2 linked regions of the Notamacropus eugenii genome follow. The protein of the gene in region 1 binds, or shares a complex with, the protein of each later gene. Links are inferred from orthologs where the notes say so. Each region holds a gene or a part of one and is shown on either strand. Other genes may lie near its edges.

Region 1 (3,905 bases):
GACCCCGCGCGCTGCGAGTGTGCGAATGCCCGAAGGGGCGGCCAGTGCCCTGGTGACGCGTGTGCGACAACTGTGTGCGTGTGTGCGCGTGTGTGCATGTGTGAGCGTGTGTGAGCGTGTGCGTGTGTGTGGGCAAGGAGGGTGCTGGTGCCATTTGTTCTACAAGTTTGAAAAAAGGGTAGGGGCGTGTGTAAGGACACGGAGTTCCTTGGTGACGCGTGTGCGACAAGTGTGTGTGCGTGCGTGTGCGTGTGTGTGGGCAAGGAGGGTGCTGGTGCCATTTGTTCTACAAGTTTGAAAAAAGGGTAGGGGCGTGTGTAAGGACACGGAGTTCCTTGGTGACGCGTGTGCGACAAGTGTGTGTGCGTGCGTGCGTGTGCGTGTGTGTGCGCGCATTTGTGTGTGTGGGCAAGGAGGGTGCTGGTGCCATTTGTTCTCCGAGTTTGAAAAAAGGGTAGGTGTGTGCGTAAGGACACGGAGTCCCTTGGTGACGCGTGTGAGACGCGTGTAATGGCGTGCGGAGGGGGGGGGGTTCCCTTGTGTCCCGGGTTCGAGAAAAGGTCTGTCAACAGTGTATGCGGGACAGAGAAGGGCATTTCCTTGACTTGCGTGAAAAAGGAATTCCCCTGGAAGAAGGAATGTGCGGGTAAGGAAGGGGCGCGTGCCCTTGGAGGTGTCCGTGGAGGACACAGAGTTGTCCCACGCGTCACCAAGGATCTCCTCGGCCTCACACACACCCCCCATTCAGCCTTTTTGCAAACTTGTAGGCACGTCGCTAGCGAACTCCTTGACCCGCACACAAACACAACCCACCCTTTTCCTATACTCACGCTTTTCACCCACGAGTGGGACGAGCTACGTGGAGGCTTGTGGGGTCTGAGCGTTCATCGCGAGTGTGTGTATAGAGTGCGACAGGCTTCCCTGTGATGAGGTTGTGTGTGAAAGGGATGTCCTGGACGTGTGTGTGTCTGCGTGTGTGTAGAAGGGGTGGGGGTGGGTGAGGAGGCTTTCCCCCGGACGCAGCAGGGCGTGTGTGGAAGAGAGCACGTGTGCAAGGGACGTGACAGCGTGCGTGTGTGCGTGTGAGTGTGTGTGTGTATGCATGCGTGTGTGAAACCAGAGGGGGTGTGGGAGAGCGAAGCGGTGCTTCTCGTGTGGCAGGGCCATTTCTTGTAACCATATGTGTGCAAGAGGCGTTCCTCGCGGTAGGATTTGTGCGTGTGCAACGCAGAAAGCGGAGTTCCGGGTGACGGAGGGAGGGGCGGGGTCTTGGCCCTTCCTCTCCCGGCAGTCCGCACTCCACCCGGCCCTCCACCTGGTCCACCTGAGGCCCCGCCTCCTCCGGCCTCCTCTTGGCGCCGGGAGGGGGCGGAGCTCCGTCCGCTCCGCGCGCCTAATTCCCGCGGCCTGGGAGGGGCGGGGCCTCGGGCGGGGCCTGACGCTCCGCCGCCGTCCCGGCGTGCCCCGCGTTGGCCAGCGAGAAGCTCTCGGGTGACTCACCAGCCGCCCTCTCGCGCTCTCCTTCCCCCTTCTCTCCCTCTCGCACTCGCGCACACCCGGCCCGAGATGGCGGCGGCGGCGGGGGACTCGGACTCCTGGGGTGAGGGGCCGTGCGGGGATGGCGTGGAGCGGGGGGAGGGGCGGCGCCCTCCTGGGGCCCGGACGCGACTCGTGCCTAACGTGGCTCTCTCTCCCTCCTTTCCGTAGACGCGGACACGTTCTCGGTGGAGGAGCCGGTGCGGAAGGCGGGGGGCGCGGCCGGCGGGGACCGCTGGGAGGGCGAGGACGAGGATGACGACGTCAAGGTGGGCGCCAGGCCGGGCCGGGCCCGGCGGCGGGAGCGGGGGAGGTGGCGGTCGGCCGCCGGGGGCCCCGATCCCGGCCTGCTCCAGGGCGGGCCGCCGTTTCCGGGTAGTGGCGCCCTCGCCTCCCCGGGCCCGCACTCCGTCCTTCCCCCTCCCGCCCCCGGACCCCGGGCCGGAGACACGCGGCCGCGGCCTTCTCCGCTCGGCCCTCGGGTCCGGGTCGGCCCGCGGGTCTGCCGCCCGGTGACCGGGGCATGGGTGGAAGCTTGAGGCCCGGGGCATGTTCCATCTGGGAATCCTGGGGAGGGCTTCCCGGCCTTCTCTGCGCTGTCGCCGTCGGCATAACTCACTGCGGGGTCCTCCGAGTTCCCAGCCCTGTTGGGGTGTGTGATTGGCAGCAGACTCTAGCGAGCAGCCGATTAGGATCGATGAATTGACATAGGTGGAGACATTTTGAGCGATCCGTCGCAGCCTCTTCTTTATCAGACCGTTTATCGGAGCTATTTAGAAACATAAAAATGAAGAGATCCAGCTTGTCTCCTCTGGTGAAGGAATTAAGCGATGAATTAGACAAGCAGCTGGAAGAAGTAATAAGTGCCCAGAGCAACTCCCTGGCAACATGGGAAATGGGGAGTTGGCAGGAGGGCTTCCCAGTACACGTGAGAAGCAGAAAACAGAATGAAAACATAGTATTTGGATATTGGAGTGCGGGAAAGGGCAGTGAGGACTCCTTTCTAGGGGATGAAGTTTAAATTTGAGTTTATTTTGTCTCTTCCCACCAGAACTGATTCAGCCTTATTGTATATTTCTGAAAAGTGTGCCATTTTCAACATGGAGCCCCTCATGTGCTTTTAGGAAACTGTCCCAAGGATTTTATTTAGTAGCCCCTAAATCTTATGTCCAGAGTGGCAAGGGTATAAAGCTTAGTAAAGTAGTGGAATTCTTGAAACGTTTCAGCAGATGTTTGTATGTATGAAGTTGAAAGTTGAACGTTTCCCTCTCATCCCTGGCTTGCTCAACGTGTTCAACAGACCTTAAAAATTGAAGCATAGAGAACACTCTGGCTTGTCTTTCCTTCTGAATGTTGGGGTCTGCTGCACCCCTCCTCCCCAAGTGGTCAAGCACACTTAAGATACTGTAAAATGTGTATTTTTTTTTTTAATATTCTTTAATCCTATACAATGTATGTTGCAATTTAGAAAAAAATTTTAGCTGTGGAAGTGAGGTAAGGTTAGCAAAGAGTTGGAGGAAAAATTAAAAATTTTAAGAATGAGAAGAAAAGAACTGGAAGTAAACAAAATAATGCTGTGTACTTGAACTAGCTTCTGTTTTTTCCCCCCACAGTTATTAAACCCACGTAAGTAAAAATAAAAGTTTTTTAAACTGACCAGAGAGTTGATGTAGGAATTATTTTATAACCCATATGACTGTCATAAAATAGTATTGGACTTTCTAGTTAGACCAGGGTTCAAAGCCCTCCTGATCATGGGCAAGTCATCCTCCTAAGACTATGAATTATACACGAATTTCTTTGGTGGATGGAGTTCCCACATATACCGAAGAAATCGTAGGCTCTCGATGCAATGTTGAAATGACATTTGGGTTTTGTTAGCCTTTATAGAAATGTTTTTATATTCTGGTGTGTATTCTTAAAACAAGGATACTATTTATTCTGCTACATGACCAAGATTCCTTGAATGTCTTTCATGGAGTACTTTGGATTCGTTGTCTCTTCATTTTTTCTTAGTTCAATTTCAGCATCAAAACAAAAAGCCTAGATTGGGTGACATTGTAAACCCCATATAGAATCTTTGTTTCATTTAGTCAGCAATTTGTTTCTAGTTAATGTAATGTACTTTAGTTCTCTAAAGCAGGACTTAGCACATTTGCGTTGATTTTGGAGCCATTCCAAAAATGTAGGAGTCAGACGAATTTGTCATCTTTCAAAGAACAAAAACGGGGGAGGGGTGGAGAGGCAACATATTGCCATTGGGCTTTAGTGCCTAGTCTCAAGTTAGGGTTTTGGGGGTTATATAGAAGGGTCTTAATGGATCCTCTGAAAACAATTAAAGGAGGAACTCATCACATCTTAATTCTTGG
Region 2 (3,905 bases), on another chromosome or scaffold:
GGTGGGCTGTGGTCCACCGGGTCAGATCCAACTGACCAAAAACAAATGGATCATCCTGGTCAAGAGGTCCAATAAGCAGCTGGAGAGGTGAGTAGAGAGGTCAGCAGGCTGGATAAGTAGACTGGAGAGTTGACAGAATATAGATGATCACTTAATCCATGGCAGCGAATCACCAAGTGAAATATAGATGAAGACAGGCAGAGACCCAGGCAGCCTTGGTGGGGTCACCCTTCTATTAGCAGTCCTGAGCTGGATGAAGATCCAGCCAAGGAGACTCAGAAAGCCCTTTGCTACCTGGTCCCAACTTCTCCCAGCCTCTGCTCCCCACCCGCCTCATGACCCGTCCTCCCCCAAGCTCAAACCGCCCTGACAATGAAACTTTCCCTGACTCCCACCACTGCAGTGCCCTACCTTACACTAACACTGACGGTACACATGTTGACAGACTTACATGATGCCTCCTTCCAGTTCCTGAAGAGTAGGAGCCTCCTTTCTTTCTACTTGTACCCCTCGAACCCAACATAGTGTCTTCTGCCTGCCACAAGCTTCTTCCTACTCCCATGCAGCCACCCCCCAACTGCTAAAGCACTGGCCTGACCAGTCATCTGGCCCATATTCAAACTCTAGGGGCTTCTATCACCCCCAAGATCAAAGAGAGACTCCTGTTGAGCTTTTAAAGCCTTTCCTTTCATCTTATACCATTCTTTGGCCTCCTAGCTGTTGCTCTCATCTCTAAACTCTGAAAGTCTAGAAGGCTCTCTTTGTCATCTTTGCCTCCAGGCTTCCTTCTGGTTTCTGCCTCAAGTCAGTAAGACATCGATTCAAACCTTGCCTCAGACACTAGCTATGTTGTCTGCCTCAATTTACTCAACTGTGAAACGAGAACAATAATAGTATCTACTTCTTAGGACTGCTGTGAGAATGCTGGGCTATCTCCAGTCTTCCTGATCTGTATCTGGGTCACTGGACCTAGCTGGCTCAGGAGAAGTGAGGCTGGTGACTGTGCACAGCCTTCCCTCACTGTAATCCAATTTATTTGCATGTAATGGCATCCCCTCCCTGATGTCATGGTCCTCTTCAAGAACTCCATGAGGAGAAAAGGAGCTGTTCACTGGAGACTAAATTGGAACTGGTCAGTTAATTGGGCAACTAGTCTTTATCTTCTTTCCCTCAGTCCACATAAGGTATCACACCCTTATCTTTGGGTGCTCTGTCTGAAAGGAAGGTAAATTTTTAATCTCTGAAACTTTTTCTTCCTCTTCTCTTATTAAAAGACCAGCCTTATCCCCCAAAATCACTCTGGTGCTCACTGATTGGCCAATAATAGGTCCTAATCCAAGTCCTACTTGGTCACTGTTTGGGCCCTGATAAGCTCAGAATAAATGTAGGTAGCAATTATTTCTGTTTTGGCCAGAAACCTTTGAGGTTCTTCCTCTCCCAGATCTATTTTTTTAGAGGTCATTCTTTGCCTCATTTCTTATTAAGCCTTAATTAGTGAATAGGCATTGCCTCGCTCAAACCGGGACAAGATAAAGACCTTAGCTTGAAAAGGCCAAGGTCCCCCACTGCATCCTGGGCCACCTCCAGTTGTCCTGATCTGTATCTGGCCACTGGACTCAGATGGCTCCAGAGGAGAAAGTAAGGCTGTGGACTTTGCACAGCCCTGCCTCATTTAAATCTGGTTCACTTGTATGTCGCAGCATCATCACCTTCTTCTTTGAGAACAAAGAACAAACAGTAAGCAAACAGCTGTGAGGGTCAAATGAGATGCTTTTGCAAAGGGCTTAGCATAGGGCTTGGAACACAGGTGCTTAATAAGTGTTTTTTCTCTAACTCCTTGGCAGGAGACTTTTCCTGTCCCCCAGGCTATGATTATCTCCACCTCATCCTTTTCCTACAGAGTTGTTTGCATGCTGTCTCCCTCTTTAGACTGTGGGCTCTCAGAAGGCAGGGAGGAAAGCAGCAGCCTCCCAATCAGCTCCCAGCCTCGGGGTTCTCCCTGTCAGATCCATCCTCCACACAGCTGCCTCCCTGACTTTCCCAAACTTCAGGCCTGTCACTTATCCACTCAATCAACTGAAAAAGCTGCTTTCTGTCTCTTGGATCACAGATTTAGAAGGCATTTGATCCAATCCCTTCATTTTACACAAGAGGGGCTGGGGATTGCCAATTCCAAATACCAACTCCTCCCTTTGGCTTTTAAAGCCCCCCCCATATCTTGGCCCCAACTTACCTTTCCGGCTTCATTATACCATTCATCCCCCTCCCACCTCACTCTACAATTCTGAGCGGTTCCTCGAGCTCCATTTCCCACCTCCGTGCCTTTGTCCAGGCTATCCTCCACCCCTGGCATGCTCTCCCTCCTGGGGCCCACTTTGTGGGATCCCTCGTTTCTTTCAAAGCTCAGTTCCTGAATTCTTCCCCTACACCCCCCTTTACTTTGTATTGGCTGGCATCTATTTGGCACCTACTATCCCGGGTTGGCCCGTGAGCTCCTGGAGGCCAGGGGCGGTCACACTATTTTTTGGTAAGCGCTTGCGGATGGGCTGCTGGACACCACACAGCCGTAACCGCACGGCCCGGGAATTCCCTCCCCGTCCGTCCTCGGGCCCAGCCCCTGCGGCCCCGGAGCCCTCCGAGGCCTGCCTGCCCGCACCTGTCGATGCCCTTGAGCAGCTTCCCCACGTTGGCGCGCATCTGCTCGAACAGCGCCATGGCCTCCTCCTTTTCACAAGCAGACGCAGACGCCGAGACCGGGTCCGGAGAAGCAACAGGAACCGGAAGGGGCGGGGAGGGCGGAAGTTCTCCTTCCCCGATGACACTTTCGGCCGCATGGTCGTCAACTTCTTCCGCAACGGGAGGCGGAGGTAAAGGCGGCGGCGGAGGGGGCTGCTTCCGGGTAGCACGTGACTTCCTCTTCCGGGATCGGTCCATTCTGGAGCATGCGCACTCGCACCGACGGAGAGCGGGCCAGACAGAGCTCACCCACGGTGAGGGAGGTGGGGAAAAAAACCCTCGGGAGCCAGTGCGCAGGCGTCCCAGGGTCTCTCTCGCCCTCTCCCCCTCCCCCTAGCGTCGCTCACTCCCCCTCCCCCTCGAGTGGGCGGGACCAAAGCTGCTGCATTGTTGCCCCTCCTCGCCGGCTTCGTCACGTGACAGGAGGCAGCTGCGCTGGAGACCCCACGAGTGTCCCGGGGAGGGGGGCGCCTGGATGCACGTGTACTTTGTGCACACATGAGACTTCCACGACTCCACATCCAACACGATCTCTTGCCTGTCCCCCACCCCTTGGTGCCTTCCCCCTGTCCTTGGTGTCCCCTCGGACACATGGCGCCCTCCTCCAGGAAGGCCCCTCCTCCCGTGGACTGTCTCCCAGTGCAGACCATTCTCTCCCCAGGGAGACGGAAGACGGGGGAAGGGTGGCAGTCACTAAATGAGTGACTCGATTCCCCTCCATCCGGTCCCCGGAATAATAAGAACGGGTGCGGCGACTCTCCCTCTCCCTCACTCTGGTTTGCCTTAGGCGCCTAATAGATGCTTAATCGATCGTCTCTCCCACGCATATTCCCATAAAGAGAGTCTCTCCTTCCCTGCCCGGTGACTGGCCAAGGCACGGGGTCAGCGGGTCAACAGCATTTTAAACACCCGTGAAGGGCCAGGCCCCGAGCTCAGGGCCGGCACCTAACCACGCCCAGTGGGCCGGGGGCCTCTCGGGCTCGCTGCTGCTCTGGAGCCCAGTCTGCAAACCCGGTGGCAGAGGTTGAGCTGGGGGCTCTCCAAGGTGCTGTCCAGGCTGTCCGCGTCAGCTCCCACCTCCAACCCAGACAGACAAGGCTCTCCATAAAGCCTGGTTCACTGGACCAGGGTCTCCGAGTTCTCCTCTCCGCCATCCTTGTGCCTCTCCC

Evidence for each region.
Region 2: EIF3J (region 1) and EIF3K share a complex: the UniProt entries of both Homo sapiens proteins name them as parts of the eukaryotic translation initiation factor 3 (eIF-3) complex. The link is inferred for Notamacropus eugenii from reciprocal best matches to the Homo sapiens genes EIF3J and EIF3K.

The regions. Positions count from the first base shown.
Region 1 is NC_092878.1:53,314,508-53,318,412, reverse strand, and holds the start of EIF3J (eukaryotic translation initiation factor 3 subunit J), read left to right. Parts: upstream 1-1,215; 5' UTR 1,216-1,566; coding exon 1,567-1,600; intron 1,601-1,707; coding exon 1,708-1,805; intron 1,806-3,905. UniProt on the Homo sapiens protein: Component of the eukaryotic translation initiation factor 3 (eIF-3) complex, which is required for several steps in the initiation of protein synthesis.
Region 2 is NC_092876.1:31,817,508-31,821,412, reverse strand, and holds the start of EIF3K (eukaryotic translation initiation factor 3 subunit K), read right to left. Parts: upstream 2,935-3,905; coding exon 2,657-2,934; intron 1-2,656. UniProt on the Homo sapiens protein: Component of the eukaryotic translation initiation factor 3 (eIF-3) complex, which is required for several steps in the initiation of protein synthesis.